Mus musculus: one gene and its partners. The protein of the gene in region 1 interacts with the protein of each later gene in a biochemical or structural test. Links are inferred from orthologs where the notes say so. Each region holds a gene or a part of one and is shown on either strand. Other genes may lie near its edges. The genes, in order: Ube2b, Ubr1, Rnf20 and Rnf40.

Evidence for each region.
Region 2: the proteins of Ube2b (region 1) and Ubr1 form a complex in vitro, tested with the Homo sapiens proteins (2 studies listed by BioGRID and IntAct, with this or other methods). The link is inferred for Mus musculus from reciprocal best matches to the Homo sapiens genes UBE2B and UBR1.
Region 3: the proteins of Ube2b (region 1) and Rnf20 form a complex in vitro, tested with the Homo sapiens proteins (4 studies listed by BioGRID, with this or other methods). The link is inferred for Mus musculus from reciprocal best matches to the Homo sapiens genes UBE2B and RNF20.
Region 4: the proteins of Ube2b (region 1) and Rnf40 form a complex in vitro, tested with the Homo sapiens proteins (3 studies listed by BioGRID). The link is inferred for Mus musculus from reciprocal best matches to the Homo sapiens genes UBE2B and RNF40.

The regions. Positions count from the first base shown.
Region 1 is NC_000077.6:51,982,160-51,989,826, forward strand, and holds the end of Ube2b (ubiquitin-conjugating enzyme E2 B), read right to left. Parts: intron 6,542-7,667; coding exon 6,453-6,541; intron 4,652-6,452; coding exon 4,523-4,651; 3' UTR 2,979-4,522; downstream 1-2,978. UniProt on the Homo sapiens protein: E2 ubiquitin-conjugating enzyme that accepts ubiquitin from the ubiquitin-activating enzyme E1 and transfers it to a E3 ubiquitin-protein ligase. In vitro catalyzes 'Lys-11'-, as well as 'Lys-48'- and 'Lys-63'-linked polyubiquitination.
Region 2 is NC_000068.7:120,965,664-120,974,539, forward strand, and holds the start of Ubr1 (E3 ubiquitin-protein ligase UBR1), read right to left. Parts: upstream 5,053-8,876; 5' UTR 4,940-5,052; coding exon 4,859-4,939; intron 1-4,858. UniProt on the Homo sapiens protein: E3 ubiquitin-protein ligase which is a component of the N-end rule pathway. Recognizes and binds proteins bearing specific N-terminal residues that are destabilizing according to the N-end rule, leading to their ubiquitination and subsequent degradation.
Region 3 is NC_000070.6:49,637,036-49,645,275, forward strand, and holds part of Rnf20 (E3 ubiquitin-protein ligase BRE1A), read left to right. Parts: intron 1-870; coding exon 871-1,038; intron 1,039-1,151; coding exon 1,152-1,299; intron 1,300-1,589; coding exon 1,590-1,772; intron 1,773-1,889; exon of another isoform or gene 1,890-4,939; intron 4,940-5,016; exon of another isoform or gene 5,017-5,030; coding exon 5,031-5,149; intron 5,150-7,448; coding exon 7,449-7,595; intron 7,596-8,240. UniProt on the Homo sapiens protein: Component of the RNF20/40 E3 ubiquitin-protein ligase complex that mediates monoubiquitination of 'Lys-120' of histone H2B (H2BK120ub1).
Region 4 is NC_000073.6:127,599,646-127,607,089, forward strand, and holds the end of Rnf40 (E3 ubiquitin-protein ligase BRE1B), read left to right. Parts: intron 1-660; coding exon 661-801; intron 802-879; coding exon 880-981; intron 982-2,821; coding exon 2,822-2,998; 3' UTR 2,999-3,960; downstream 3,961-7,444.

The DNA of each region.
Region 1 (7,667 bases):
ATGGATGTATACAGGCCAGCCGGAGCTGCAGGCTCTTTATCTAACACCCTTAAGAAGAGTCACTAGGCCAATTCATGTGGTGAGCAGTGGTATTCTTGGCAAAAGATCGTATTTGTAAGGGGGCAACTTTCTCCTCTGAGCTTCAGAAAGGAAGCAAGCACAGCTAAGTCTCTGCTCCTAAGAGGACAGCAGAAGTGCAAGGCCTTCATTCCAACAGCTTGCAAGACATGGTAAAATCCTCAGAGTCTAAGAATGAAGACTAAAGAATTCAGTCAGACTCTGATCATCTCCAAGTTCCCAATCCAAACACATCTTAGGGATTCATTTCCTTCTGAGTCTTCAAAATCAGTTAAGGTCTCCAAAACAGTTAAGCGGCATTTTACTCTGTGTGTGTGTGTGTGTGTGTGTGTGTTTGCTGGGTTCAAATCCTGGTCCTTATACTTGCTAAAGTCAGGTGCTCTGCCACTGAGCCACACACATACAGCCTAGAGGTGTCATTGTTTTTAAAATTGTCACTATATAAATCCACTCCCTAGGAAGCGTGGTTATCTGCTCTCAGCAAGACACTCAGATGAGTGCCACGCGGCAGCCAGAGAGCATTAGTGCCTCAATCAACAGCAGTTAGATCCTTCCACGGGCAAGTTCCCCATCCGAGTCTGAATCTTCCATACTTACCAGAGGATGGCTGGAGCTAACGCTGAGCTGGGTGTGGACGGCTGGTAAACAAGTCATTCAACTCTCTGACCCAACTAAAGTTAATTCCCTAGCCATCCTACTGAGTAGAAAAAAAGCAAAAACAGAAACATTAAAACCTCAAAACTTTACTAAGATTATTTTTAAAAGCTGTAGCAGTGATAGGACAAATTTACTAAAAATGGTACATGTGTTCAACTTCTGTTCTTTCCTCAAAGGCTAGAGGAAAGAAAGGCCCATGCTTTCAAAGGACTTCTGGTATCTTTGTTGCGTCAGATACTTAGATGACAAATGATCTCTACTGGACGACTGTCTCACACACTAGCTGGGAACTAATGGGAGCCACAGCTCTGTTAAAGTCTCTCTCCTGACAATTTTGCACCTCAAGAGCTTCAACTACTGGATCTCTCCTTGCATAGTTAACGCACATGCCACATCCCATGGCTGGACGCAATAGAAAAGAACTGTGATCCACGCTGCCTACTCCTAGGCTTGGTAATACAACTCGCTGACAACACTTACCTAACATGCCTGGAGCCATTTTCATTCCCAGCAACTCAAAACAGACAAAGCTCTGAATCTTACCATTTGAGCCCCAATGTTTCTTTCTGGAGGCAGGGTCTCATTCTATGGAGCATGACCAGCCTCAAACTCATGGAATCCTCCTGTTTTGGCTTCCCAAATGCTGAGATGCAAGCATGGACCACACCACACCCATATTATACCTGTGTCCTTATGACATTTTTGTGTGTGTGACTGTGTCCCTGAGGACTAGTGCCCACAGGTCAGAAGTGTCAGGTCCCCTGGAGCTGGAGTTACAGGTAGTGGTGAGCACCTGGCACAGGTGCTGGGAACTGAACTCAAGTCCTGTCAAGAACAGTATGTGATCTTAACACCGAGCCATCTCTCCAGCCCCCAGTGTTCCTTCTGTGACTGGGAGAAGAGCTCTCAGTATGTGCATCTCTCACACTCCTAAGGCCCTTGGTTCAATCCTCCTCCCACTAGCAAACACCACACTGTACAGGCAGGGCCTTTGTTTTCTGAGCACAGGACAGGAATCACAGCAGCCCTTAGTTCTCCTCATTGCTTTTCATACACATGAGGTTTAGATGAGATCTCAGAGACGTCATGTTACACTGGCTTTGAGGTTATGTGTATGGGATGGGAGTACATGCCTCATGTCGAGGTTGGAGGTGACAGGACAACTTATGGAAGTCAGCTCTCTCCTTCCATGGGGTTGCAGGGATCTGACTGGCCATCAGGCTTGGTGGCAAGCACCTTTACCTGTTAAGCCATGTCACAGCCAGCCTGAAAGTGACTTAATGGACCTATTTTACTGTTAAGAGGGCTTGGCTTGGGGAGGTAGAGATTCAGGGGCATTTCCTGGGTGGAAAGGGAAATGGTTTGTTGAGAAACCAGTCCTTTCTATCAGAGAGCAGGAAGTTTCTATCCCCAGACTTTCTGACATGGGCTATGTGTATGAAGGTGGGAAATGACTACAAAGAAAACTTGCCCACTGGATAGTCTGTGTAACTCTACCAAATAGAGTACAACTCCCCTTAATATTCCTTGTGCTTCAGAGTTCATGCTGCTCCGAAAGCCAGCTCATTTCCTAGCTGGTTGACCTGGGACCAACCAGCTCTCTGTCCCTAGTTCCCTGATCTGTAATGGAACAGTACCCCGTGGGCTGCTCCCTGCCAGGCCCTGTGCGGAGGAAGTGCATCTCCAGCATGTACATCTAAGTCCTGTGCACACCTAGCTCTGCCTCAGTGCCCTGCTTAGCTCTAGCTTCTTGCTGTACAAACGTAGCTAGACCAAAACGAACATTTGTGCATGATAAAGTGTATGAGTTAAAGATGCAGATCTGGTACTCTGTTGAAGACAAAAAAATGAGTGACTAATAGATCATTTCTAAGGACTTTCTCCAAAAGTCAAGATGGGCTAGATAGGTAGAAAAACTGAACAGCTGGCTCACCACCTGACACCACTCCCTTTAACTGTTTACCAAGTAAGTACTTGAAATGTTTTCAAATGGATGAAGAAAACAGCTAAGAATAAATATGGTGCGGACATACCCAGGATAGTGTTTAGTGAAATAGTTGAGCCCCTCTCACAAGTAATTGCTTATTTACTGTCCAAGTCACCGAAGGAAAGAGTAATGGAGCTAAATACATGGCAGAAGCATCACACATGTCTCACCCAAGTGGCCTGGAACTCACCATATAATAGCAGGCTCAAAACCATGGCCCTCCCCAGCCTCCCAAGGATGTAAATAGGTTATGTGCCACCATGCTAAGCTTAATAAATTAGTATTTTTATTTTAATTATGTAAGCGTCTGTTTGTGTGACTGTCAGTGTCTGATTTAGTCAGAAGCTTTGGAACCCCAGGAGCTGAAGTTACAGGCAGCTGGGAACTGTCTGAAGTGAGAGCTGGGAACAGAGACTGGGTTCTTGCAGAAACAGTACATGCAGTAACCACTGAACCATCTTTTCAGCCCTCTGGAGTAACGACTTCTAAAGGGAAGTATCAGTTCTTATCCATCCCAGTTTTCAACTTTGCTTGTAAACAGAAGACATGGTCACTCTGCAACCCAACGTTCCAGCAGAGAGGCTACCAGAGCACATCTCTAGGAGGCTGGTGTGGATGACAAGAAACTCAGGCTCACTGCAATTGCTGTTTCAACTACTAGAGAGACTGCACAAGTGGTTCAACAGAATTTACTTGTATATTTTCCATTTTCTATACTATTTGAAGGCATAGGATAGCTTTGTATTAGCTTTCTACAATACTGTGTTTTAAATCTATCCAGTAAACTAAGATGCAGTACAACTTGGATACAACTGAGGAGGTGAGAAGCAACTCGGCAGGCCCTGGTGCTCAACAGTTCCAGAATAAACAGGTAGCGCGCAGCTGCATTAAAAGGTAGTTTGCAAATATTCAAGTTACACCAAGATTCCTTCCAAATCTCTGCCTTGCTCAAACCAGCGCAACCGGCCATTGCTAATACTGCGGCACGGTGTTTGGTAAATGGTGATGGTTTTACTTTCTTTTTAATCAAAAGCCTGTGAAGGTGCTGCCACACAGCAGAGGAAGTCAGCTCTGCTCGTGGTGGAGGTGCCAATTGTGAAGTCACAAAAGGTACAGTTTACATGAGAAACGCACATTAACAAGTGGCCCAAATACAGAGCTGGACAGAACCAGACCAGTAAGTCTATAGTTACTCAACTGAACTTACAGAAGTACATTCAAAATAAAGCCGGAGATCAGAATTGGTTTTAGAATCGAATTTGCAGACTTTCTTGATAAACAGAAGAGTGACCTTCTGCAGTTGGAAATGAGGCTCTCACCTGGCAGAGACTTCGCAGTCCCTCTTGCACAGGTGAGGAAATAAGTGACAAAGTCTCTTGCACTGAAGTTATGTATTTTAACAGCTTTACACGTAATATTCATATATAAAAAACTTTAAGTGCTTTTCTCCAATTTAAAAATCTAAAGAATTCAAAAATAAGGCATTCAATATTTGAAAAAAGTACAGATTTACAAAATGTGTATATTCTGTCATGAAAACTCCACACCAACATTATACACTTGGAAAAAAATACAAACAGGATATATTACAAATTTATGCAGCAATAACTTAGTTCACACCATGCAATAAAAAGTACATTAATCAAGATACACAAGCTTTTGTAGGTTCTAAACTGAAGGACTTTTTCTTTTTTTCTCTGCAGAATCCTTAAAACCCGTGGCACTTAAAACTTGCTAGCCTTTCTACTGGGAGGTAAATTATACACAACAACGATGAAGGATGAGCAGACCAGGTGTCTATTATGAATCATTCCAGCTTTGCTCAACAATGGCCGAAACTCTCTTCTCATACTCCCGTTTGTTTTCCTGATAAAGCTGTGCTGCTTGGCTGTTGGCTGGACTGTTTGGATTCGGTTCATCCAGCAGAGACTGGGAGAGAGAAGGAGAGAAGAAAATGCTCTTCAGCTGTGTGCTATAGTAACAGGACTCAGATAAGGACAGAAAATTACACAAAACAGAATTACTTGGAAGTTCCAATGTCATCTTTCGGGTCACAAAACCTTCAGAAATTACATGAAGCAGGTTTCTGTTGCTAAAAAACATAAGCTTCCAAAATAGTTCTCAGTTGCCTTGAGATTTCCCATTTCAAGGAGATCAGCCAAAAACAGTATTCATTAGCATATAAGAACTTCCTCACCATTGAAGTAACAGCTTAATCTGGTTGAACTATAACACCTATAAATACCTTAGAAATTTAATTTCATGTATTTTGTACTGCTAGTAGTATCTCTCTCTATTTTTCTCTGTGTAGCCCTGGCCTCCCTCTGCCTCTGCTCTCCTACAACTAGGATTAAAAGTGTGCGCCACCACTTCCCAGCTCCCAGATCCACTATCATCAGGTTTTTGTGGTGCTCAGAAGTTGGGCATGCTGGATAAGTGTTCTACTACTAACCACTGTCCCCTGCCGCTAGGCCCAAACCTTATTCCTGTGGTTACTCACATACGCTTAGCAGGGAGGGAATAAAAGAGTAAAGTTCTGAGGTGGGAAGGAAAATACAGGGTAATGAGCAAGCTAAGGGTTAACAGTCACTCTTCTGGGGCTGGAGAGATGGCTCAGTGGTCAAGAGCACTGACTGCTCTTCCAAAGGTCCTGAGTTCAAATCCCAGCAGCCACATGGTGGCTCACAACCATCCATAATGAGATCTGACGTCCTCTTCTGCCTGGAGTGTGTGATGACAGCTACAGTGTACTTACATATAATAAATAAATAAACCTTAAAAAGGAAAAAAAATAATTCCTAAGTTTAAAAAATAAAATAAAATAAAAACCTCACTCTCATATGTAGATCCTATCTTAAATACATGAGACATGGGATCAGAAGTGGACTATGACAGGGGTGGGGATTAGAGACACACAGGGATTGGACAGATGGACAGAGGGAAAGCAGGATAGACAGAGAAGTAGTGAGAATCAGATATGAACAAGGTTCAGTGATGTAGTATGACATTCCCCAGAGATGAGTGGAGCAGTAGGCAAAAAGACTCACAAAGATGGACAACATTAACATTTTTTTTTTGCTCTTCTCAAATCAGTACAGCTCTGTCAGCCTCCCTAGACACATGAACCCACAGTTACTGCACCTCTTTCTTGAATGGAACGACACAGGTACAGGGTCTTTGCCTGGCAGTTCCTGGAGGTCCCTATGGTTTTCTAAGCAATCACTTTACTTCTCCCCAAGATACTACATGGGCACAAGTAAGTCTCACTTGTGAGAATGTGGACATATGACAAGAAAACAGGTTGTGAATAGGCATGGTGGAACATGCCTGGATCTGCAGCATTTGGGAAGAGACAGTCTTCTGTGGATCAGCCTGAGCAAAAAGAGACCTCTGCCCTCCAAAAAGGCAAGCTGTGGATTAGATCTCATATGTCAACTAATTAAAGTGTGGAGCAAGCTGGGTGTGGTGGTGCACGCCTTTGATCCCAGCACTTGGGAGGCAGAGGCAGGCGGATTTCTGAGTTCAAGGCCAGCCTGGTCTACAAAGTGAGTTCCAGGATAGCCAGGGCTACACAGAGAAACCCTGCCTCAAAAACAAAACAAGAAAATATAAAGTGTGGAGCAGTCAGGGTGTTGTCGAAGTCATGCATTAATTACTTGGTGCTGGCAGGTGGTTCTAAATAACTGGTTATATCCCAAAGAATATCAAGTTGTGATGCATTTAATCTTACCTGAATGGAAGTTAAGATGGAAGAGACATCATATGTGGGACTCCATCGATTCTGCAGGATATCTAAACATATGCTACCATCAGCATACACTGCAAAACAACACAGTTAGTTACAAGCAACTCTCGTGCCACAGTGAGAGCTCTTCAGCACACACTAAACTCTGTTTCACAGGGAAGCTTGTCCTGAAAGGAACGTCCGCCTCACTACCCGTGGCATTTTTGGAAGGCTGAGGGAAATTTTTCTGAAGCCTGCCATACATTCGTTACCACATTTTGGGTCCAAGGTTGTAGCTCAGTGGTAGCGTGCCTGCTTCACATGTGCAGGCCTGGGCTCACTCCCCAGCACCCAAACCAAGATTACTCCACCTTTCTTAAGCCTCAAATAGAGATCCTGAAAAAGACCCACTTCTAGAGATGATTCTCAGATTATCATGAATATAGAGATTTACTTGTAGGACTTTCACAACGGCATAATCTATGAGGAAAAAAGAGCAAACTCCCTTATGGTCCAAAAGTCTGGTTAAACTATGGCACTCACGACTGGAGGTGCAGCTTGGTGGTAGAGCAATTAATTATACTCATGGACAAAGTCCTGGGTTCCCAGCATCACAAAAATAGTAAATAACAACACATTCAAGGAACATTATTTATAGCCATCAAAAATGCCACCTATCTCCTGTGTTTGCCACAAAATTAAGGAGTTTTTGATTCTATAGACAGGTTCTCACTATTATAGCCCTGGCTGAGCTGAAAATCACCATGTAGACCAGGCTGGACTTGAACTCACAGAGATTGGCCTGCCTCTACCTGAAAAAAAAATGCTTAAAAATTATCCAGTAGGTTCCATATTTTGATTTTTTTTTAAAAAATTATATAAATAAATACCTTCACTTTGACTAAATGAGGACACAGACATTTGTAAAATTAATGTCAAAATATTTACAGCTAAGACTGATAGCTGATATTTACCCTTATAATGAGCATCCGATCCCTGAATCGCCTAGCTACACACAAGTAGAAGAAAAAGAATGAATGAAGTCAACACTCAAACCCTTAGGCCAATGTTACAGACATTGCCGTTGAGTGTGGCTTCGTTCTTTTAGAAGTGTCGTGTAGTCCAGGCCTGCTGAGTCTAGCACAGCTCTGAGCTCTAACCCTCCCTCCTGCCTCTTTCTACCTCCCAGAGATTGTGTTGGGATTACAAGCATGTTCCACT
Region 2 (8,876 bases), on another chromosome or scaffold:
ACTTGGCTCTGACCAGGACCTGAACTGCTTCTGGGGCACAAGTGGGTACTTAGAGAAGCACAATAATTCTTCTGGTTCTTTCTGTGGTGTTTGTTCAGAATATAGCCTCTTTCTACAAGTCCTCCAGTTATTACAGGGACATAATACTTTTTTAAAGAATGCATCATGCTAGGCATGACGAATTGTGAGGTACGGGCCAGTAAGAGTTACATAACAAAATTCTGTCTCAAAAAATAAAGAAAAGCTGGGCAGTGGTGGCGCACGCCTTTTTAACCCCAGCACTTGGGAGGAAGAGGCAGGCAGATTTCTGAGTTTGAGGCCAGCCTGGTCTACAAAGTGAGTTCCAGGACAGCCAGGGCTATACAGAGAAACCCTGTCTCCAAAAATCAAAAAAAGCAAACAAACAAACAAAAAAAAAAAAAGTAAAGAAAAAGCCCAAATTCAACAATCAAAATAAAAACAGCTACTGCTTCTTTCACAAATGCCACAGTAACTCACACAGGAGTTCATGTAAGTCACCAGGGAGTAGTGAGGTCTTAATACTTTATCTTAAGCTACCTGAGACAATGGATTAAAGTTTATATGAAATTATTTCATAAAATACAGCACAGGATTAATGCCTTTAGAGATACTGGATAATGTAATAGCAAGGGGAATTTGGAATAGCCTTCAAAGGCAGCACACAAAGAACGGGCTAAGGCACCTACCTGTCCATGGTTCATCATGCGGTACTGACTTACACGTCTATCTTTCCAGACAGTTTTCCTATCAAGTACTGAAGACTGACACAGAACTGATTTAGTCTTAAAGATTACACCGGTTGCTCTGTAGAGAAATGACTGGAATGCTTTGTCCAGTATCGCTCCAGGGAATGGCCCTGACCAGGGACAGCAAGGGAATGAAGAAAAAGCAGACACAGAGAGACGAAAAGTTGGGATCAGATAGCCTGGACTCACAGATGGAGAAACCTCAGCACTCCACAAGCTCTTGTGTGTGTGTGTGTGTGTGTGTGTGTGTGTGTGTGTGTGTGTGTGTGTGTGTATGCATACACACACAGCACAGGCAGGCAGGGCTCTTGTATACAGCTGAACAAGAAGGCAGAGTTGGAACATACAGATAAACAAGGAGACAGGGTTTACAGCAAACAGTCTGGATCAAGGGGATGGGATTAGCTAATCTCAACATTCTCTGCAGGAAGCACTCTTCAGACCATAAACATCATGGGGAAGGGGAGATGATAGTTATGGTGGACATTTTTTTCTACAAACACTATCAATATATGCAAACGGACCAGAAGAAGGCTTTGCCATCCCTCTGAGCATCACCCTGGGAGCAGGGATGGAGAGGGAGGCTTTGCCATTTTCCCATGGGTCTGAGGCTATGTTCCCTGACAAGCTTTTGTCCATGTCAACAACACACATTCACTCAAGGCTTCCTCTCATCCCAACACTGGAAGATGACAAAAGTAGAAGGAGAGAGACCAGTGAAGAAGCTACAGTTGTCTAGGCAACAAATGGTGGCTTAGATTACAATGATGAGTGTAAAGACAGAGAGACATTTGTATCCAAGAGCTATTGTGGAGGAGGTGCCCTGTAAAAGAATAAAAAAAAAAAAAAAAAAAAAAAACCTTGATTTGCCTTCCTGCTGCCCTCCTAAAATCTACCATGAATGTGGAGACCAAAAACCAGAGGTACAGATGTCATTTGTTCCTTTCATTTTTCCCTCAACTTAATAATTAGGTCATCTTTGCTTCTATCATATTTCCAACATCTTCCTCAAACTGATACAGCTTTGTCTTCCTGTAACAATCTCTCACATCCTAGCGGCCTCCTACCTGCTCTCTCTTTTGGAAACAACCATCGGCCGTGCTAGTGGAGACAAGGAAGCAACTGAGTTTATGATTCTGAAGCTCACAAGTGAGATGACCCAGAGCTATAAGCTAGGAATTGAACATATGTGAGTATGAAAAGCTGTAGAACTGGATGAAATCACATATGCAGTGTCAGCGTACAGAAAAAGATCGCAGTGCCATGCCATGTGACACCTTCCTCTTAGGCAGGAATCCAGTCAAAAAAAGCAGATGTTCCGGCAGGCCATCCAATATACTCTGGATTTCCAGTTTTCTCAGTCCTTTTCACGGATCCAATAAACTATCCTTTCCTAAAAACTACATCCCAGACATTGTCTTACTCTTGTTTTCTCAGCTGTGTGGTTTCTGGGTATTTGTGTGTGTATATGCACACAACTTGACCTCAAATATATCCATTCCTATAGCCTCAATCATTGATTCTAAACTGGTAACTTCCAAGTGGCTAGCTTACTAAGGCATTCTTGTGAATATGTAGCTTCTTGGACCTTTTGGACGTTTACGGTCCAAGAATCAACTCTCTTGGTGAATCTTTTTTTTTTTTCTTAACTCAAATTATTTATTTTTATCTTGGTAAATCTTAAGCAATATCTTGTACAAATGTCCAATAACTCTCAATTATTATTTCATTTTATTTTTGCTTTTTCCGATCATTCTATTTTTTTTTTAATTATTACTATTATTGTGTGGGGGCAGATATGTACATGTGCCACAGCATGAATGTGGAAGTCAAAGTGCATATTTGTAGAGTTGGTTATCTCCTTCCACATCTTCATTGGTTCTAATGATCAAATCAAGGTACCAAGCTTATGCAGGAAGCAGCTCTGAGCCATCTTGCTAGCCCTATCATTTCATGCTGCTTACTTGTTAAGTGACTTTAGACCTTGCTGAAAGGTTACTAAAACAACCTTGTATCTTTAAAAAAGGCAATTTAGTTTAAAGAAATCAGCAACTGTAACTAGAAAAGCACTCTAATGAGAACAAAGCCTTTACTAGATCTTGTAGCTGTCCTATATTTGTTATTTTGTTTCCACAAGACCCAACAGAGATTTGAGATACAAATTAAGCAAACAGTGGTGGGGTGCTGAAGACTCAAACTGAGCAATCTTGGCTTAACCACAAGAGTTTTAAATAGGGAGAATGAAATGGGAAAGGGCAGATGGAAAAACTACAGGAAGTAGGATGAACTCTGGGGTCAAGCAAAAAGGGCTCAAGCCAAAAAATAAAGGCTTCACGGTCATCGGTCTGTATCCACTTACACCACCCTATCTTGAATCTAAGTTCTTCATCTTTTATATTATCTATAGGCTGAATTCCCTGAGGCTACATGACACCACTCCTTGCTTCTCTGTAAAGTTTAAAAAGCCTTGCCCAAAGAAATATATTATTCTTTGAAGACATGTTTGTTACAGATTCCTGCTCAATTTCTATACCATTTTTCCAATTCCAAAGTAATGGATGTTTTATGGTTTTATTAATGGGGTTTTACAGTGCTAGTGGGAAAGAATTAACATAGCAACGATTTAAATAAACATTACTCATCTTTGGCAATAGGAAACTACAACTATTCTGACTATAACGCACTAGATTACAAACAAACAAAAAAAGCACATGATTCTATCTATGAATCTTTTTTTCTATTTTTGTTTTTAGATGGAGTTTCACAGTCTAGTCCGGGGTTTGCCTGGAACTCCTGAAAGTAAATGATCTCTCTATCTTAACCTATAGCTCAGAAGAAGAGCCCTTGCCTAGCATGCATAAGGCCTGGAGTTTTCTCCCTAGCACTAAAAAAACCAAAACCAAAACCAACCAAACAAACAAACAAACAAACAAACCAGTTTATCTACTTGGAAACATTTTCTAGCTGTTTTCATCTAAGCTACATTACCAGTGGTGAAGTGAGTTTCAACTGCTTTTTGGGATGGAGGAGGAAGACTGCCAAGTGCTGATCTAGTGCATATAGTCTTATTCCAACTCTGTCCCTGATGGTTTTTTATCTTACAGACATTCTCTCTAGTCTCCGTGGTTGACTTATTTCTGAGTCATTCTCTTGTCTCATAAAATAATGTTCTAGAGTCTGCTGGGGTAAAGTAAGCCAAGAATGAGTTTATTAAAACTACAAACAACTTCACTAACAGGTATGTGTATATACAATGGGTTTGCGTGGGTGCGGGTATGTTTCCCACACTTTTCCATATGCAGCTATAGACAAACTGATAAAACATGTTGTGATCAATAGTGAGTACTTCCTAAGGACCTCCCTCCCTTCTAGTTATCTGAAGGGACCACATCAGAACATTTGTGAACATTACCCCACCTTTCAGCCTACTCTGTTCGTATTCTCCACGCAGCCAGACTGTTGACTCAATTTTATTCTACCTCTCCTTTCTCAGCCCTTCAAAAATCTAATAGCCAAGTATAGATTCCAGTATTCTCTCGTTTGAAATGTCCCTTCTCATATATAAAAGGCATGACAAATGACAAATTTCCCTCACTGGGGGCCAGATCGAAGGTTCTCAAGACGCTGCAATAATGGATATCTGGCCATGCCTTGCCAGCCGCAACACTCACTGCCACTATCAAGTCCACCCGACAATGCTATATCACACCAGGTGCTGGTCCGGGTCCCGATGCCTATCAACAAGAGGGGTCAGCAATGCGTCTACCGAAAAATGGCCTTCTCCAACCTCATCTCAGCTCCTACATCAAACCCACCTAAATGTGCACGAGTTCTTTCTACTTCAAAATAGAGACATGCGTGTCTGAGCACGTTGAGACTTAATAGATGACAGTCATTAAACTCCGTAGACCTGGCTGGCAGGAATGTGTGTAGGAGACGACTAACTTTATCGGGGGAGGGAGGGTCGATCCTTCAATCCTAGGACTCCCCTTCCCCAGTGCCGCCATAGAAAGCGGAGCCCCAAACCCTCCCAGGCGCGGTGGGAAGCTGTTGGTGGAGAGGACAAAAGGCGCTAGCAGATGAAGACTCACCGATGCCGGCCGCTGCGGGGCCAGGGGAGGCTCCGGGCTGACGTCCATCCTCTCGGCGCCGTCCATCTCTTCGTCCGCCATCTTAAGGGAAACGAACGCCCGCAGTTCCCGACCCCCGGCCGCCAGCTAGCGGAAACCTGTGGCCGGCCCGACGCGACAGGGACGACACTTTTACGACGGCCCCTGAAGTCAGGTTTGTCGCAGCACCCGGAGCGGCTTCCGGTCGGCTTCCCGGAAGCAGGCTGCCGACCTGCCAAGCCGGAGGTTTCCGCCCCTGATGGTTAGTTAGCCCTGCTCCACCAGGGCTGATCCCCGAGGGAAGACCTCACAGCTTTGTCGCCATCCCTTAACCCCGGGGCAGGGGTGGTGAGATGACAAAACCGAGAAACCTAGTCCATCCGTCGGTAAGGGAAGACAAACTGAATACATCCCCGTTATGGAATACCCCATGAAAAGAACAAGGTAGATGTACGGAAACATCGAGGGGAAACTGTTGCCACAGACTACAAATTCCTGCATTTGTGCATCTATGCATAGTGCGAAGGAATAGCTCTGAACCAAGAGAAAACACCCAAGGCCAAGACCAGGGTTGGAGGACAAAGGTGATAAAGAGCTAATTTAGTGTCCTCTGTTTTTGTTTTTGTTTTTTGTTTAGTTTGGTTTAGTTTTTACGAAACGAATAATAGCCTCCAATACCACGCATTCCTCCTACCTCTGCATTCCAAGTGACAGATGTCAGCCACCTGGTCCCTTTTTAAATTTATATATATACTTTAGCGACTTGTGTCTGTGTCTCTCTCTCTCTCTCTCTGTGTGTGTGTGTGTGTGTGTGTGTGTGTGTGTGTGTGTGTGTGGATCATGTTTAGAGATCAAAGGACAATTTGAGGGGATTGGTTTTCTACCATCTCACCTGCCATGGAAGTGGGTTTTGTTTTGTTTTTGTTTTTGTTTTGTTTTGTTTTTTTGTTTTTGTTTTTGAGACAGGGTTTCTCTGTATAGTCCTGGCTGTCCTGGAACTCACTTTGTAGACCAGGCTGGCCTCGAACTCAGAAATCCGCCTGCCTCTGCCTCCCAAGTGCTGGGGTTAAAAAGGTGTGCGCCACCACCACCTGGCTTTTTTTTTTTTTTAGATCTGTAAGGTCAAATTTTCTTCACATACACCAACCAAAGCAACACATGACTGACTATAGATAGAGGCAGAACTAAAACACACCTACCCTTCTATTAAATTGGAACTTAAGAAATTTGGAAATTCTCACATTTTGGATAACATTTGTTTACCGAGTTAATTTTCATTTTAAATGCTGTTTATGCCTGGTGTAATGGCACCCACCTTTAAGCACTCCAGAACCAGAGGCAGGTGGATCTCTGAATTCAAGGCTAGCCTAGTCTACTCCAGAGCTATGTGGTGAGACCCCATCTCAAAAAGAGAAAAAGAAAGGAAAAATGTTTAAGATGTTATATTGTTTACATGCCTGTAAGCCGGCATGGGTGACTTACAGCTGTAACGTCAGCTAGCATTTGAGAATATGAGGGTTCTTCCAAGTTGGAGGCAGCAGAACTATATAGTTCCAGATCAGTCTAGCTGCCGGTGAGGTCCTGTCCCAAAACAACAAAAAGCAGAACATGTTGGGTTACATGAAGCCCTGCATAGAAACTTTTAAGCTAGTTAAAAGTTTTCTCCATCTTAAATTGTTATTAGTAAATATTGATAGGAACCATTTGTACAAAAGATTCTTGGGGAGGGGCAATAATTTTAAGGAGTTTAAAGTGATCCTGAGAAAATAAAGTTTGAGAAACGCTGTTGTTGTTTTGTTCTTTCTATCTTGAGAAGACACATTGTTGGGTGAAAAATCAAGTGACTGTTTTTTGAGGGGAGAGCATGAGGCATAAGGCTGAGCTTGTGACTCATTGTAAAGGGCTTATCACACACACACACACACACACACACACACACACACACACACACACACAAACCAATAATAATAAACGCACCTGTAGGGCGCTCGCAAGATGGCTCAGTGGTTAAGAGCACCGATTGCTCTTCCGAAGGTCCCGAGTTCAAATCCCAGCAACCATATGGTGGCTCACAACCATCCGTAACAAAATCTGATGCCTTCTTCTGGAAGATCTGAGGACAGCTACAGGGTACTTACATATAGTAAATAAATAAATCTTTAAAAAAAAAGAAAAACAAAACAAACAAACAAAAAGATTGTATTTTAAAAAAAATAAATGCACCTGTAGACTAGGATTATAGTTCAAAGGTAGAGAGATTGTGACTAGCATGCACATTATCCTGGTCTTAATCCTCAGTGGTTAAAAAAATAAAGCAGCTATTTTTATATTAAACATGTTTAATGAAGAATGCTAATCATTAAAATCTTATTCTTGTGGTAATGAGAAAATTTTAACGACCAATGCTAGTCACGGTCTTAGGTTTACTGTCACTGTGATGCAACACCATGACCTAAACAGCTTCGGGAGGAAAGGGCTTGGTTTACACTTCCACATCACTGTTCATTAGCCAAGGAAGTCAGCGCAGGAACTCAAACAGGACAGGAACCTGAAGGTAGGAGCTGGTGCACAGGCCATGGAGGGGCGCTGCTTGCTTACTATGGCTTGTTCATTGTGACTTGTTCAGCCAGCTTTCCTATAGAACCAGAACCACCAGCCCAGGGGTGGCCCCGCCCACAATGGGCTGGGCCCTGCTCCATCAATCACTAATTAAGAAAATACCCTATGGGAGGGACCAGGTAGAGGGAAGAGCAACGATCTGGATGTAAAGTGAGTAAATAAATAAATAGGAAAAAGAAAAGGAAATGACCTATGTGCTTACAGCCCAGTCTTGTAGAGGCATTTTTCTCAATTGAGGTTCCCTCTTCTCTGCCGACTATAGGTTTTGTCAAGTTGACACAAAACTAGCCAGCACCATCACTAAGATATTTTAAATTTTGTCTCCAGACTCATACAGAAACGCCCACAGCTCGAACCTGCCGCTTTGCTCTTCCGAAGCCATCACGTGTTCACCTGCAACCTTACTCCTAGGTTATTTGGCGGGAATCGGCCCCTCCCCCTCCTTCATAACGGAGTGTCGGAATAGTAAAATTGAACCTTGAGCAGAGCCTTGTCTTGGTTCCGTCTTTATCTCGCGCCGCCTAGTCCCTCTTCTCTTCCAGGTTTCCAAAATGCCTTTCCAGGCTAGAACCCAGACCTGTGATCTGCTGGCCAGACACAACATAAATGTCTATTTTTTATTTTTAATTTTGTTTATATTTTGTGTGTATGGGTATCTTGCCTCTATGTATGTCTTTGTACCACTTGTGTACAGTACCCAAAAGCCCAGAAGAGAGGAATGGATTCCCTGAAACTGGTCCTGGGAATTGAAGCCAAGTCCTCTGGAAGAGTAGTGAATGCTCTTAACTGCTGAGCCATGTCTCTAGCCCAGAGAAAGGATATTTTTAAAGGATCTGCCCATCTTTTAAGGAAAGCATTTTTAATATCTTCCTGTTTTCCTAACCAGATGTGATTGGACCCTTCCTTCCTGTTGGAGGACTAATTTAATAATAATTAAATAATAGAGGCTATATACTTCTAGAAGCAAATTTGTTCATTGGGATTCAGTACATTTTATTTTTGCTACTTGGTTTTAAATTTAGGAGCATTAAACTTACTGGACTTCCTCATCTATAAAACAGATGCCTATATAAAGTTTGTAAAGATGAATGAGGCACTACCAAAAGCCCAGAATGCCTGGTTTCCAATAGTACAGTGTTTGGTAATAGCTAAGTGAACTCCCTTCTCACCCCATGGTTTTCTTCTATACAAAAGCACTTTCATTTAGGGGGAAGGGAGTCAGGGATCAGCATACACAGTCTTTCCATTGTGAATGCCTCATTAGGCATCAGCATCCCCAACCACGGGCCTAGAGTTTATTACTGTTTGGTATCCTCAGGTAACAATGCCCATCCAGACTTGCAGAGTTCTTTCTTCGCTATGGATTCTTGTGCTTATTGCC
Region 3 (8,240 bases), on another chromosome or scaffold:
CCTCCTAGGTCTATCTGATCTGGCCGGAATGTTGACACACCCTGGATTACAGTATGCACGTTCTATTGTGCCAACATGAGATACTTGGAGAGACATGTTTTATATCAGGCAATGGGAACCTGGACTGGAGCAGAGCTCTGGATGATTCCTTTAGTATATAGTTTATAATAAAATTTATCCCTGAAGCCTAGTCATTTGCCATTAGAGTCCAAAATACTGACAAACTGGATGCTGTGTGTGTGTGTGTGTGTGTGTGTGTGTGTGTTTTAAATGGTTCATCTAAACCTAGGTTTAAGTCACCCAATAACTAGCAGTATGGTGGAGCCTCAGGATTCAGATACTTGGTGAAGAATCCTATTAGAGCAGTGAGGTGGTCAGCTTGAGAGTGCTATACTTGCTGTTACCATACATGATCATACACCTGTTCCTTTATTTCTTCTGTTCCCACTTCTTACTTAATCATTTGCTGTAAGAGTTCTTAATGTATGTATGCAAGGCCAAGTAGTGTTTCTCAGTTGCCATCCACTTTGTCTTTTGAGACAGGGAGCCCACTAATATTAGGCTAGGCTGGCTAGCCAGCCAGCTATCCTCAGGGATCCACCTGTCTTTATCTTTCCTGTGCTGAGGTGACAGCATTTGCTACCATACAAGGCTTTCTTAGAAGCAGGTTCTATTGATCAAACTTAGATGCTCATGCTTGTGTGACAAGCCCTGAGCACCTGAGCACCTGAGCTGTGTCCTTAGTCTCGGTTAAGATTGTTTTTTTTATTTTCTTTATAGAAAAATAACTAATGAACTAATGTGAACTTAGTGAATTTAATAGCTCGTCTGTTTTTTTGTGGAGACTAATGATTCTGTTTCCTGAGGTAGGAGGAATTAGACATTCGAACACTGCAATCCAAGAATCGTAAGCTAGCAGAAATGCTAGATCAGCGGCAGGCCATTGAAGATGAGCTTCGGGAACACATTGAAAAGCTGGAGCGACGCCAGGCCACTGATGATGCCTCACTGTTGATTGTGAACCGGTACTGGAGCCAGGTAGCTACTTTGTCTCTTCACCCCTATTCAGATCAGCCTTCTCATCCTTAGAGCGCTCTTAGTTTCTCAACTTTTGCCCTTCATGGTTGTTTACTGCATGTTTCCTTCTGTAGTTTGATGAAAACATCCGCATCATCCTTAAACGTTATGATCTGGACCAGGGTTTGGGGGACCTACTCACAGAAAGGAAAGCCTTGGTTGTGCCAGAACCAGAACCTGACTCTGATAGCAATCAGGAACGCAAAGATGACCGTGAGAGAGGCAAGTGTTTGCAAGGAAGTCTGTCACTGCCTTAGTTACCTGGGTTTTAAGGTTGAGCTTTGCTCTGAGGCTCTCCAGTTGAGCGGGACAGTGGATTTTGCTATTTCTAGCTTTAAAAGAAGATTAAGGGCTCCTTTTTCTCTCCCTGTGTTGTTGGGAGGTATTCTGTAACTGTATTAGTTACTAGATTTTTGAAGTTGAACTTTGCTTTGAGGCTTTCCATTTGAGGGAAAATTTGCTATTTCCAGATTTATAATTTGGGGGGGCTTTTTTTCTCCCCATGTTCTCAGGGGATGGGCAAGAGCCAGCTTTCTCTTTCCTTGCTACTTTGGCTAGCAGTTCCAGTGAAGAGATGGAATCTCAGCTTCAGGAGCGTGTAGAGTCCTCCCGCCGTGCTGTGTCCCAGATTGTGACTGTCTATGATAAATTGCAAGAAAAAGTGGATCTCTTATCCCGGAAACTGAACAGTGGAGGTGAGGAGAAGACCAGGAGACAGGGATCAATGGGAGGCAAGAACTCAGCTCTAGGAGGCTTGGGGTGCTGCTCAGTAGTAAGGGAGAATGTGGCTAGGTGTGTGGCTTCTATTCCAGCACCAAAACGAGTAAGAGAGGAAAACTCAGTTTAACGAAGCTCCCTGGAGTTTTAACCCTTGTGACTCTCAGTGTAATTCCCATGACATGCTAACGATATACTTTCATAAGTAGAAGTAAACTTCTGACTTCAGATGGTGAGTTTTAATGTGTTCCTTTTCCTTTGGTGTATTTAAAGACAGTTAGATGAGGTAGTAAAGTAATAAGATGACTCCTGTGTTTGAAGAGATAGAATAGGAAACCAGTGGATGAAAAAGCCTTAAAGTAAAATGACCATTTGGAATACTTATTGAGTTTTATTACTGAAATTATGTTTGTACAGTATAGGAAGTATACTAAAATTATTAAAGATCTTTAGTCATTTGTGATAGATCTCTTTCTTAAATGCAGATAAAATGCCTTTATTTCAGGTTTTCAACATTAGCCATGATCTGGTTACAGTATCTTTTAAGAAGTTTTATTGTATATGTATATGTGAGTGTATAATTATATACACATGAGTGTAGGTAACTGAGGAGTTCAGAAGAGGGCATCAGGTCCCCCTGGACCTTGAGTTGTTGGCCACCTGACATGGATTTTTGGTAACTAAACTGGGGTTCCCTGCAAGAGCAGTACATTCTCTTATCCTCTAGCCATCTCCCTAACCCTCTGTTGTAGTATTTTAGCTGCCGTGATTATCATCAAGATATTTAATGTTTTAATCTCCTAAATAAATTAGTTAACTATAATGTGCTTTATTTACTAGGTGAGCAAATAAGAACTGTATTATTCTAGAATTTTATTTTCAAGAAAATTCTTAAAAATTGCTTCTTTTTTAGTACGGTAATTAATATGCTTGTTTATATTTTATTTTTTAATTAGGATACTACAGTTGAGAGTGGATGGGTATGACTACTCCTTCCTATTGCTATAAAACTAGCTGTGTGATACTTCTGTCTCCCATGGCTCTAATTGACTGCCTAGAGGGTATTGTTAAACCACTCTAATGTGGGGAATGTACAATGTGCAGAGGTTATTTTGATGCTACATTTGATATTTTAGGTGAATGTCAAGTACATTATTTGCTATATTTGTAAAGGAATTAGACTGAATAGAAAATAAAACTGAACTAAGAACTGTTTTGGGGTTCTGTGTCTACAAGATTGCTCAGCTTTGAAGGCTCTTGCACAAGCCTGATAACAAGCGTTTAATCTCTGGTTCCCACAAGGTGGCAGGAGACAACCAATTCTTGAGGGTTATCCTTTGACCTCCAAATTCACGTGCCTGTACACACAGGACAGACCCATGCATACACAGAAACAAAAATTATTTTTTGTAAGTGTGTTTTAAGATCAAGTTTAAGTTAAAAAAAAAACACATTTTATTTTAAATTCTAAATAGTTAAGCTGTTTGTGATCCAGAGGAAATCTGTGTTGATAAAAAAAGTAAAGATATATATCTTTATATCTATATGAATTATAATGTATATTATAACTCATAACACATATATGTATATGTGTGCTATGAATTATAATACTGAGTAATAACTTTTTAGAAGTTCATTTTCACCCATGGTTTCATTCTTGTTTAGATTTATGGCTTATTTATTAATTTACTAACACTCACTGGGTTTTAATTGAATTTTAGGGCCTGGCTTCAGAACTTAGGGTATTGAAGAATGAAAATTTAGGCATTAGTTTTTAACTCAGGTTGACTCAGTCGCCGTTTAATTATGTATTTATTTTGCCATAGCTATGGAGAGTCTTAACTAGAGGGTTTTGTATGAGTCCCTGGGAATTGTCTATCTTGAAAGTCTGATAAATGATTCAGGTGGGCAATCCTACATGGAAACTGGGAACCCGTGACTTGACTGATCTGTTGCATGAGTACTGAGAGCAGTAATAACAAGTGGTGTAGGAATGCTTTTTCCTGGCAACTCTAAAGGATAATGTGTGTCTGGAGACTAATTGGTTCCATTTATAGCACATAGATTGAGCTGTAATAATTATGACTAATTTTAAACACCTGAATTCAGCATAAGAAATTCTAAAGATGTAACTTGTAAATTTGTAAATATTATGTACATTTTTGACTTTGAGCTTCAGGAACTTTAGACCGTGTACAACTGTGCTTACCCAAGGCTACCTACTCTCCACCTTGATGCCCTTCCCCCATTGTGTTTGATGCCATTGGATATTCATTCCATTACGAACAGTGGCCAGCCAGGTGTGGAGTCCAAACTGTCAAGTCCAGCCTGTGCAATGATGTAGTGATAATGCAAAGTAAAGCCTTTATGTCTGGCTTTGAGTAAAATGTTCCAGCAGAGCCTATGCTTTGTTTGGGTTGATCCATAGAGGCTGAGAAACTTTTTTTGAGACTGTTTGAACTTAAAGAAGAAACATTGTGTCTCTTGAAGGTCTGCACTTGGTGCTACTTGAGAGCTTGCCACTGCACAAACCTTGATCCTAAGACACTCGAGGCAAACCTGGAGTTCTTCCTCCTGATTTTTGGCTAGCCATGATCAAAGGGACTGAGATTCGTATGGGTCATTTGCTCTCTCTGGTAGCAAAGGAAAGAAAATCAACCTTGATAGTTGGAACCTTTTCCAGACCCAATTAATTTTGTACTTAACATAATATTGTGATAAGTGAGTTCTGTGTTTTTATCTTTGTTCATTGGGATTTTTATATGTGATTATTTGAAGATAGAAATTATGCTTCCTGTCTCTCCACCACAAAAGAGAGATGCTTCATGTTGTTATTAGTTAATAATAGGAGTTTGTGATTACCTTATAAAATAAAATTGTATTGCTTTAATTTGGACACTGCTTAGAAATCTTGTCTGTTCTAAATTCTAAAGTATCTATTTTTGGTGATGGTAATTGTATGTGAATACAATGATATAGCCTTCATTTATTTGTTCAAGGCATTTGTCTTAACAGAGATGAGAATAGGTGATGGTTGCAGGTTGACTCATTTATATAACCAATTACCTATCACCTGACCTGGGTGCTTCCTGTGTCCTGTGAGATAACACACTAGGTTACTTTCTGACATTCTGAGGATAGTGAGGTGAGCCATCAGGTTGATGCTTTGATGCAATAGATGATTGTACAACTTAAGACTATTGATACTAAACTAAAGTGCAGTTCTTCTTTCTCAGATAACCTGATAGTGGAGGAAGCAGTGCAGGAGTTGAACTCCTTCCTTGCACAAGAGAATGTGAGGCTTCAGGAGCTGACAGACCTCCTTCAGGAGAAGCATCACACCATGTCTCAGGAGGTACTTGACCAGAAGGAATAACAGCCATTCTTCGTAGCTCTGGGTGACCACACCAAGTCAGAACTGTGAGAACTTTGAGAGGCCCCTTAATTTTACAAGGCATACTTACATTGAGGAGAGTGTGGGGCAGTAACAACAGTCAACTCTGAGAGAGCAACGTCCATGAAAAGGTTAAAGAAGAAAACAACTGAACCATTCCTCTTTGTGCCTTTGTTTAATAGTAGTTTAGGATCTTCATCATTGTGAAGAAATGCCACAACACAACAAAATTGTAAATCCTAAATGATTCACTGCCCTAAATATAATAGATCGTCAACAGTGGTACTGAGTGAATAGCCAAGTGAGAGTAGAGCAGAGTATGGTGAGGAGGGAGGCTTCTGCAATGGTGAAGCCATAGGACCTTGGGGAATGTGAATGTTCACCCCAGAGTAGCTCCCAGACAGTGCCATGATTACTATCCCATGCTAGATTTCGGCATCTGTCTATGTAACATGCTTATGAGAAAGTGAAAAGCTTTGGATCTTTCCGCACATGCTTCTGATTACTTTGTTAGCTCAGGTGATATGTTATCTGTTGATAATGACCTACTTTGGTTTGGCTACTAGACTTTTGTGCTGATTAGTTATTTAGTTATTGTCACTTAGTCATTTGGTACCCAGTTTTAAGCACTACATGAATATTACTACTAATGGCAAAACAGCTTCCATTTTACTGGTGAGGATACAAATGAAGGGTAGTGTACAGTCGGAGCAGGTGATTAAAAAATGTGATTTGCTGAGTTTGTTTAATCTCAGAGCCATGTTTACCCTGCACTGTTTCCTGAGCTCTGCTGTTAGGTTCTTTGCTTGGATGCTCATGGACTTTTAGCAGCATTTACAAATAGATGGGGGTGTCATATTTTAGGGAATTAGCTCGGTGTTACCAAGATAGAAATGTCTCCTGTTGAGGCCTTTCCCAAATCTCAGCAAGAGTAAGCAAGGGCCTCTCTGTTTTGCTCTCTGGGCTCGTGTGTAGAACCCATGTCTTGCATTGCTATTTCCTTTCATTTTTAAAAACAACATCAGAGTAGGATTTAATTTCCTGGCACCAAGTACAGCGCAGCTTCTTCATGCAACAATTTATTTATTTTTCCATTAGTTTATTTATTCACTTCACATCTGATCTCAGCTCCCCTCTCTCCTCCCAGTTCCTCTTACACAGCCCCTCACCTCTCATTGCTGGTTCTTGATGCCGACTGTCTGCTGGGAGGCTGTCAATTGCAGCGGAGGGCCTGAAGACTTCTTAGCATGTCAGCTGAACTACATTGAGTGTTCTAAGAAACAAAGCAGATCCTGCCTGAGCTTTTTAGTATAGCCTCAGAGTTATACACTATATATATATATATACCACTAAAGTTGTCTGGGATCAAGGGGAGGAACAGATTCATCTCTTAGTGGGAAGATTGTCAGAGGAAAAAAAAATAAGCTGAAGGGTCTATACAGAGTAATGGGAACATGGGGCAGTTTCATAATTGAGATGCTATGTAGTAATATCCCGTTGATGCAAAGTTGAGATCCTCAGTATCTACATACAGTTGAATGCAGTAGTATTGATTGTAATCCCCAAACTCTACTCCGTAAGATGAGATGAGAGGCAGGGACTGGGCATACCTGGAAGTTTGAGGGCCTGACATATGACAAGAAAATCTGTCTCAAACAAGATGGAAGAAAAGGACTGATGCCTGAGGTTGTCTGGTCATCTCCACATACAAGCTATGGCAGGCGCGTGCACACGCACACACACATGCATGCACGTGCACTCTCTCTCTCTCTCTCTCTCTCTCTCTCTCTCTCTCTCTCTCTCTCTCTCACAAACACACACACACAACCTGATTGTAAACTGCTCAAGAGTCAGCTTAAACACAGAAGAAGTTTCTATCTTGTTCTATAAGGATTATCATTTCTGGATATGTAGCTAGAGAAAGTTGGTAGTAAGAGATGTTTCTGTTTTAAATTCTTATTTTCTAAAGTATTTGATAAAGGTTGTTTTCTTTTTAAAAAAATCTTCATTTTCTGATGGTTGTGGTCTTTCTAGGGAAATGATGCTTTTCATGGATAGATTATTGAGTCTTAACTGATTGTCCTTGTGAAAGTTCTTAGCAATTGCCTGTAGCAGTCTAAGAACTTTTCTTTTTACATTTGGGTGTTGAATACATTTTTTTATATATAATGGTATGTGAGCAAGGACTAATTTTATGGAATTTGGAATGCTTGACTCAGTCCTTTTGTTATGTTTCTGAATGCTTGTCTTTGCGATGTAGTTCTGTAAGTTGCAGGGTAAAGTAGAGACAGCTGAGTCACGAGTGTCCGTCTTGGAGTCCATGATTGATGACCTGCAGTGGGATATTGACAAAATTCGAAAAAGAGAACAGCGTCTCAACCGGCATTTGGCTGAAGTCCTAGAGCGGGTCAGTGCTGATTATATAGGCTTAAAAATGACTTAGGAATGTATATTTTATTCATGTGTATGTGTGTGTGAGAGGGAATATGCCATTATGTGTACAGATGCCTGTGGAGGCCAGAAGAGGGTATTAGATCCCCTGGAGCTACAGTTATATAGGGTTGAGTAGCCAAGCATGAGTGCAGGGAGCTTCCACCTGGACTCCTGCAAGAGCAGCAAGTGTTTTTAACTGCTCAGCCACCATCTCTCCAGTCTTTCCCACCCCAATATAATCTTTCTTTTTGTTTTTGAGACTTTCATAAATGTATACCATGCATTTTAATCCCATTGATCCTCCATCCAATTTTTCCAGAACTCCTCTCCATATGTTCCCCTCTCATCTTTTAATATCTTTTTTTTTTTTTTAAATAACCCACTGACTCCTATTTGGGTTTTACATGCTTGTGAGTGGGCAACATACCAAAGGCCACAACCCCAAATTAAAATGACTTTCCCTTAGCAGCTATCAACTGCCAGTAGCTCTTCAGTCAGGGGAAGGTAAACTCCTCCCTTTTCCATGCTAGTATATTGATTAATTTGATCTTGTGCAGGCAGTCATAGGTACTGTGAGTTCTCATAAGCACAGCAACCATGTCATATCCAGGAAACAACT
Region 4 (7,444 bases), on another chromosome or scaffold:
GGTGAGTTTATTCATGGAAGCAGTGTTTTATGTCCTATTACATGCTGCTGACCGACACTGGGTGACTCCTGCCTTCTCACCAGTAATCCACAAAGAAAAGAATGCACTTGTCCATCGTTTATCTCTTTTCTGCCTCCCCCACCCCCTTTTGGTTTGTTTTTTGAGATAGTCTCTCTATGTCGTCCTCCTGGCTGTTATGGAGTTTGCTGCGTAGACAAGTTTTCACTGTATTCCAAGCTGACCTCAAGCTCTCAACTATCCTCCTGCCTCAGCCTCCCAACTGCTAGAATATCAAATACACACCACTGTACCTGCTTCAAACACTTTGATGAAGGAAACTAAGGCTGTCTGAGAACATAATGGCACTCCTTAGGGATGTGACTTTAAGGCTGAGTCCACGGGACAGTATACATGTTAGAGGAGTTGATGGCAACAGAGAGACTAGCCTACTGGAGGCTCAAAGACCAGAGCGAGCACCATCATGCAGTAAGGAGCTGTGTCAGGAATGAGGATGCGTAGGAAGGGGTGAGGTTGAGGGCCACAAGGCAGGGTCAGCTCCACTGCAGGCAGGCAGGCAGGATGTTCAACAGAAGCATCAATGGACTGTGGTTCCCAGGCTTGGGCCCAAGGTCCTCTCCTTCCCGTTCCCGCCCACCTCAGGCTGTAGAAGCAGCCCAGTTGGCTGAGGACCTGAAGGTGCAGTTGGAGCATGTGCAGACTCGACTTCGAGAGATCCAGCCCTGCCTGGCAGAGAGCCGGGCTGCCCGGGAGAAGGAGAGCTTCAACCTCAAGAGGGCTCAGGTGCGTCCTCGGGTGGGGAGGGCTGGTTGGCCGGTATGGGAGACATGCAGGTCCTTAGCCTGGCTTCTGCTGTCCTAGGAGGACATTTCCCGGCTTCGGCGAAAACTAGAGAAACAGCGGAAAGTGGAGGTTTATGCAGATGCTGACGAGATCCTGCAGGAGGAGATCAAGGAGTACAAGGTGGGACGAGGCTGGTGACAGTGGGGTGTAGTCTCCGGAGCTCGAAAATAAAGTAGGGCAGCAGGCGTGCGTTGTATGTAAGCCACGTGGCAGAGGAGAGATTACACCTGGACCCTGGCAGTCAATTTAAAGTAATTCTGCCATCTCAGTGATGAGTCAGGGCCATGGCAAGAACCCAGTGGAGTCTCCAGAGTGGCCCTGGGGATGGGATGGAGGGTTGTGTGGCAACAGGCTTCCTGGAAGGAATTGTCACCAAAGGCAGACCCAAAGCTCCAAGAATGGAGGTGAGAGCTTATGTAAAGGGAAAGGCCGCAGGTGGGGAGTGAAGGCTGAACAGCAGCAGACCCTGGAGGCTAGAGGTAGGCTTGGTAGCCTGTGGGCAAGCAGAGTAGAGAAGCCTTTTTATTTGGGAGGGGGAGGAGCATACGATGCTTGGGAGTAAACCTGGGTAGGACTTTACATGAGCTGCACACACACACCTTACCACCAAGCTGCATCCTCAGCCCCATCAAGGGTTTTTATTCAAGAGAGTGGCCAGATATGGGGCCAAGAGCGGCTGCAGAAGGGGGGGGGGGTTGTTAGAGCATTGCAGTCGCTGAGGCAGAAACTATACATAGCTAAGCCCTACACACCTGAGACGAGATGAGCTAAAGCAATACTAAGGTGGAGCTGCGGGGCTCAGGGATGGGTCACAGAAGGATAGAATAGGCAGGACACCAGGGAGGTCCGGGGTTGAGATATAGGAACTAGGTAGACAAACACTCTTCAGTGGATTAGGAACATGCAGTGGATGGTTTCAAGGTGATGAGAACTCGGTGCCTCTGGGACCTCTTGGGAGGCTGGGAAAGCACTGAAGCCAAGGGTCAACTGCAACAACCAAAAGCCACACTGGACTCTGGCTGCCATTGAGGGCTCTTGCCATGAGAAGGAACAGGGGACATTCTTCTTCCTTAGAAGTCTCAGCTTTTAAGTGACAGGCATTAAGTGAAGCCTGGTGAGTGGGGAAAGCCTTGATGGGAGGGGTAGGGAAGGAAGGAAGGGAGCCAAGCCAGGGAACCTGGGTAGAACAAGGGTGGTCAGAGCTCCCGGTCTCTGGAGCACTGTGGTGGAGAAGGTGGCAGAGTCATTGATTAGCTATCCCCCCATTGGCCTTCTCGGGGAAGACACGAGCCTTGAAAGGCTTTCCAGTGTGCATGGCCCTGTCCTGAGAGATGGAGAAACAGTAATTTGGGGAGTTGAGCTGGCTGGCTGAGACTCCAAATAGGCCAAGCAGTGCTCACCCAAGGTGGTGACTGGAGCCGACACTGAGAGCCTCCTGGTGGCAGTTGGGGACAGTCCACAGCAGGGCCTTGGCACCAGGGGTGGGTCAGACTGACTGTGCAGATAGCATGCTTCTCACAGTTCTGCCCTGTTGAGCAGTGACTGAGCAGGTACTCGAGAAATGACAAGTGACCACTTGGGGATTTTGCCCAAAAAAGCTATTAAGGCAAGAGATGCAGGAGTTAGGGCCTATCCCTGTCCTTAGGAGAACCTAGACACTTTCGAGTTTTGTTTGTTTGTTTGTTTTTGTATTTGTATTTTTGGTTAGTTTTGTCTTTTTGAGGAAGGTCTTAACTATGTGACCCTGGCTGATTATGGTCACAGTCTCCTGGGGACTATAGGTGTAAGCAACTCTAATTTTGAAAACTTGGCTCTGAGCCTGTATCCTCGTTCATGCAGTGCTGGTTCCCACCTTCAGAAGTTATGTTCAGAATTAGAGGCCTCAACCATTTGGTGGCCTTAGCCTGGAGTCTGGGGACAGTCAGACTTGCTCCAGACTTACTGTGTCCGTTTGGTCTAGGCCCGGTTGACCTGCCCCTGCTGTAACACCCGCAAGAAGGATGCCGTGCTTACCAAGTGCTTCCACGTTTTCTGCTTTGAATGTGTGCGGGGCCGCTATGAGGCCCGCCAGAGGAAATGTCCCAAGTGCAACGCAGCCTTTGGTGCCCACGACTTCCACCGTGTGTACATCAGCTGAACCTGAAACTCAGGGGACTTTGAACACCCGAGGGGCTGTGCCCCAGCTCCCCACTCCCCCAGGGGCAATGGCCCCAACCTCCCTTTCAGACTCCATGAGCCCAGCCCCTATGTGCCTAGATGGTTTGGGGCTACTGGTGCGTGCAGGAGAGGTGGGGTCACCCAAGCTGAGTGCCATCTTTTCCTGAATGTCAGATCTGCAGCCTCGGGGACTCCCAGGTACACAGCATCCTACTGTAACCTTGGAAGCTGACCAAAACCTGTTTCTACTGAGAAGACAGATACATCCTTACCCCTAGAAGGGAATTCCTCCACCAGGAAAGGGCTCACCACCCATCTGCACAAGCTCAGTGCTGACCAGGGACCTGGGCTTCACATTGGGTCCTGGCCCGAGGAGCCTTGCTTCACTTACTTAGCCCCAGGCCTGGGCAGGGATTTGGCCTTCCAGTGGAGTTTCCTGTACCCTGGTGTAGCTTTTGTGTTGAAGACACTCTTGGGTGTGCACCCTATTCAGGTCAGGGACACTGCCACCTCATGGTCTGATTCAGGGGCATTTTTTTTTTTAGCCAGACTCTTTCCAATCTCCTCCTTTCCTCCCAAGTCCACTTTACCCTTTCTCACGCATCCTGGTGGTCCCTTGGGTACCTGGCCCTAGCCCTGCTTTCTTTCATCCTGGTGATCTTAATTGTGGAGGTGCAACTTGCCAGGAGGGAAGAAACAATCTAGCACTTGCAGGCATTCCAGGTAGAAGAGCTTTGCCCGTGCTCCAGCTAGCCTACACTGATCCTGCCTAAGCAGGGTCCTGAACGCCGGAGACAGGGTCTGCTGGAGCTGGGAGACGGCGCTGCAGATAGATGGCTACAGGAGCTTTTGGACTCACAGCCTCTGCTCTAGAGGTGTTGTGTATGGGCTGCTAATTGTTATGAATAAAATACCCAACCCTAGGCTGCAGAGAAGCCCGTCCATTTGGTCTAACCTGAGTCTCTGCGCTACACCTCACAAGCACTTCCCTGGCATGGTTGGAAGCTGGACACATTTGAGAAACCAGCCCAGCCCACCCTACAACCACTTGGGTTAGCAGCAATATATCTACAGACATGTTTACAAAGGGCCCCACCCCGCCGCCTCCACAATGGAAAAGTTGTTGATTATGGGTTGGCATTGGCCGAATGGATAACAGCCTTTGTGGGTTGCATACTGGGATATGTAGTCCTTTACCTCTAAGGGCCAAGTTTACCTGTTGTGACCACATTTCAGTCTTATTTGTAGGCTTTTTATCCACCCGTACTCTGCGAACACAGACCATGAACAACTCAGCAGGGTGGGTTTTCATTGTAGCTTGGGCCATTAGCTGGACCCTTGGAAACAGTTTGCTCAAACATGGAGGGCTGTCTCTGGGTTCAGAGTGGTGTTGGTGGCTCTCCCGGTGGCGCTTTTACGGATTAGCTACGTGGCCTGCGCTAAGCGAAGGTGAGGTGGGTGTGGGAACAGCAGTCATAGCCATGGTTGTGGCCTCGGGCTTAGCCACAGTAGTACCTTCTCTAGGCTCTTCAGCCTTCTCCGCAGACTTGCCTTCGTGAGGACTCCGGGCCCCTTCTGCTATCTGACTGCGCCTAGTTTCTGTGACGCCGCAGTGGCTGAACCAAGTGGGACTGGAGACTGAGATGCGAGCTACGGTGACCTCCGGTGTGGAGCTGGCAGTGACTGGGACGCTCGCAGAAGCACGAGTAGCTGCAGGGGAAGCACGAGTAGCCATAGGAGATGACATTGGGCCACCATGAAAGCCACCCCGGCTAGAATGCTGGGGGTGGGGGGAGTGGGGGAAAGCAGGATATTGCATCATAGAGACTAGACAGAGCTAGAACTGAGCTAGTAGTCTTAGGAGGCCTGTGCACTGGGGCATCAGTCAGTTCTCTGTCCAACATAATCCTCCTAAGTAATGGACCCCATTCCTTTAGAGGTGAGTCCTCAAATGGATGGGTTGGGAGTACTCAGAGCTCCATGTGGGCAGTAAGGCCTAACAGTAACACAAAGCAGACCTTTTCCCTCATGTTAAGCTCAAGCTGAATGGGCTAAAAGTCCCAGGATCCTCGTGCCTGGAGTGTGCAGTCTTTGCAGAGCCATGAAAACAAGCCATTGGTCTGTCACTGGTGCAAATTTGTGTGCTTTCTTCTCTCAAGTCAGAGATCGATCGATTGATCGATTGCAGAACCCTCCCCTGGCCACCACCGAGCAGGATGTGTTCCTGTTTGAGCTGGAGCTAGGGCAACTGCCTCTGAGCGCACTGATGGGGACTTCTCTCAGAACTTACCCCAGGCCCTAGCTGCTACATTCCTCGGCTTGAATCGTGCTGTCTTCTGATCTCTTCCTTCAACTGTAACCACGCTCCCCTTTGCACTTTGCCTTTCTCTGAGGTCCATCCAGAGACAACGGAACAGTAAAGCTATACCTACAGTTCCCTCCCAAGCTCCAGGCCTGAAAACCACTGTTTAAGGAGGGCAAGAGATGGTGCCACTCTCTCTCAGCACTCCTTAGACTCTGGCCTGTGTTCTGTGACTGCACCTCCATCGGTCCCTTATTCGATAACGAAGTGGTCCTCAGCCTTCCAAAATGTTACAACCCTTTAATATAGTTCCTCGTGCTATGGTGACCCTAACCATAAAATTATTTTGTTGTTATTTCATAACTTATTTTGTTAATGTTATGTGTTTTCTTAGGGTATTAGGCAGTCCCTATTAAGTTTGTCTGGCCTGCTCTAAGCCAACCCCAACTATTTGATAATCTATCCCCACCCCACTCCTGACTTCTATATAGAGGATCCCTTATTTTTTATTTTTTTGAGACACGGTTTCTCTGTGTAGCCCTGGCTGTTCTGGAACTCACTCTGTAGTTCAGGCTACCCTCAAACTCAGATATCCACCTGCCTCTGCCTCCCAAGTGCTGGGATTAAAGGTGTGCACTGCCACTGCCTGGCGGGGATCCCTTATTCTTGAGACCCCGTCCTCTGTAGTTACTTCCAAGTGTCATCCAGCCTACTATAGGAGTCATGACCTCTGGCCTTTAAATCAGGTATTGCTCTGGTCCTCCTCTTATTGGAGTCCTTAGTGTTCCCAGGGCTGGGGACCCAGGAACATGAAAAGGCAAGTCCCCCTCTCCACTAACCCACCCATATTCCTGAAACAGAGGGAAAGAACGACAACTTACTCTGGGATTTGGGACAGGCACAATAGGTCCAAGGAAGGGCAGAAGGAATGCTTGGCAGGGGTGGGGGGCCTTAAGAGCCTTGACTCCTCTTCCAGAGGACCTGGGTTTAATTTCCAGCAGGCAATGGCAGCCAACAACCATTTGTTGTTCCAGTTCTAGGAGACCTGACCCTTTTATGGCCTCTGCGGGCACTGCAGTTGTGTGATGCCCAGGCACATGAAAATAAAACACCCATGCACATTATTTTTACATTAATAAAAATAAATGGTCAGGAATACACCTTCTGCCTTCAGAGAGTCCTTAAGAGACAGGCTATGGGGCTGGTGAGATGGCTCAGCAGGTAAGAGCACCAGACTGCTCTTCTGAAGGTCCTGAGTTCAAGTCCCAGCAACCACATAGTGGCTCACAACCATCCATAAGGAGATCTGACTCCCTCTTTTGGTGTGTCTGAAAACAGCTGCAGTGTACTTACATATAATAAATAAATCTTTTTTTAAAAAAAGAGAGAGAGAGAGAGGCTATGGCTACTGCTGATCATGGGCCATGACCAGACTCAGAAAACAGTGCTGAAGCCAGGCATGAGGACCTCCCTGTAGTCCCAACCACAAGAAGAAAAGGCACTGCCAGTGTGGAGGTGGCCTGAAGCCTCCAGGTCATTCCAACTTCCCACCATGACTTACATGTGGGTCTTGGATAAGTGGCTGTACTTCCCAGAGCCCCAGCCTGTGCCATGGTAAGAACCTTTGGGCTATCCTGGAGATCGGACAAGTCAAGGTACGGCTCAAAGAAGACAGGTAGCAGGAGAGGCTGAGCTAGACCCAGGATCCAAGGGAACATGGAGAGGTGGCTGCCAGCTTTGAGGATGAGGACTTGGGAGCTCTGTGTTTCAGGGGAGACTGTGGGTGTTGTACCCAGAGAAGCTGCAAAGCTGGGCCCAAGACAACCAGGGCTAGTGCTGCCAGGCAGCCATCCAGCTTACCAGATTTTTCTTTCACAAGGACTGAGCTTTAAAGTTCTATAAACCTATCAACCTTCTATAAGCAAATACTGGACAGGAAGCATAGGGCCCCCGGGGAAGGGCAAACCTGGGACAATACTGAGCTTTTAGGGTCCCCATGGGCCCTAGTTCTGGGAGTGAAAAACTTTGCTGTTCGCTGAACAAGTAGATAAGAAGTAAAAACAACTAGGAAATCTTATTCCCTTTATTCTCTTCAACTATTCAACATGACCACGGTGACACAAC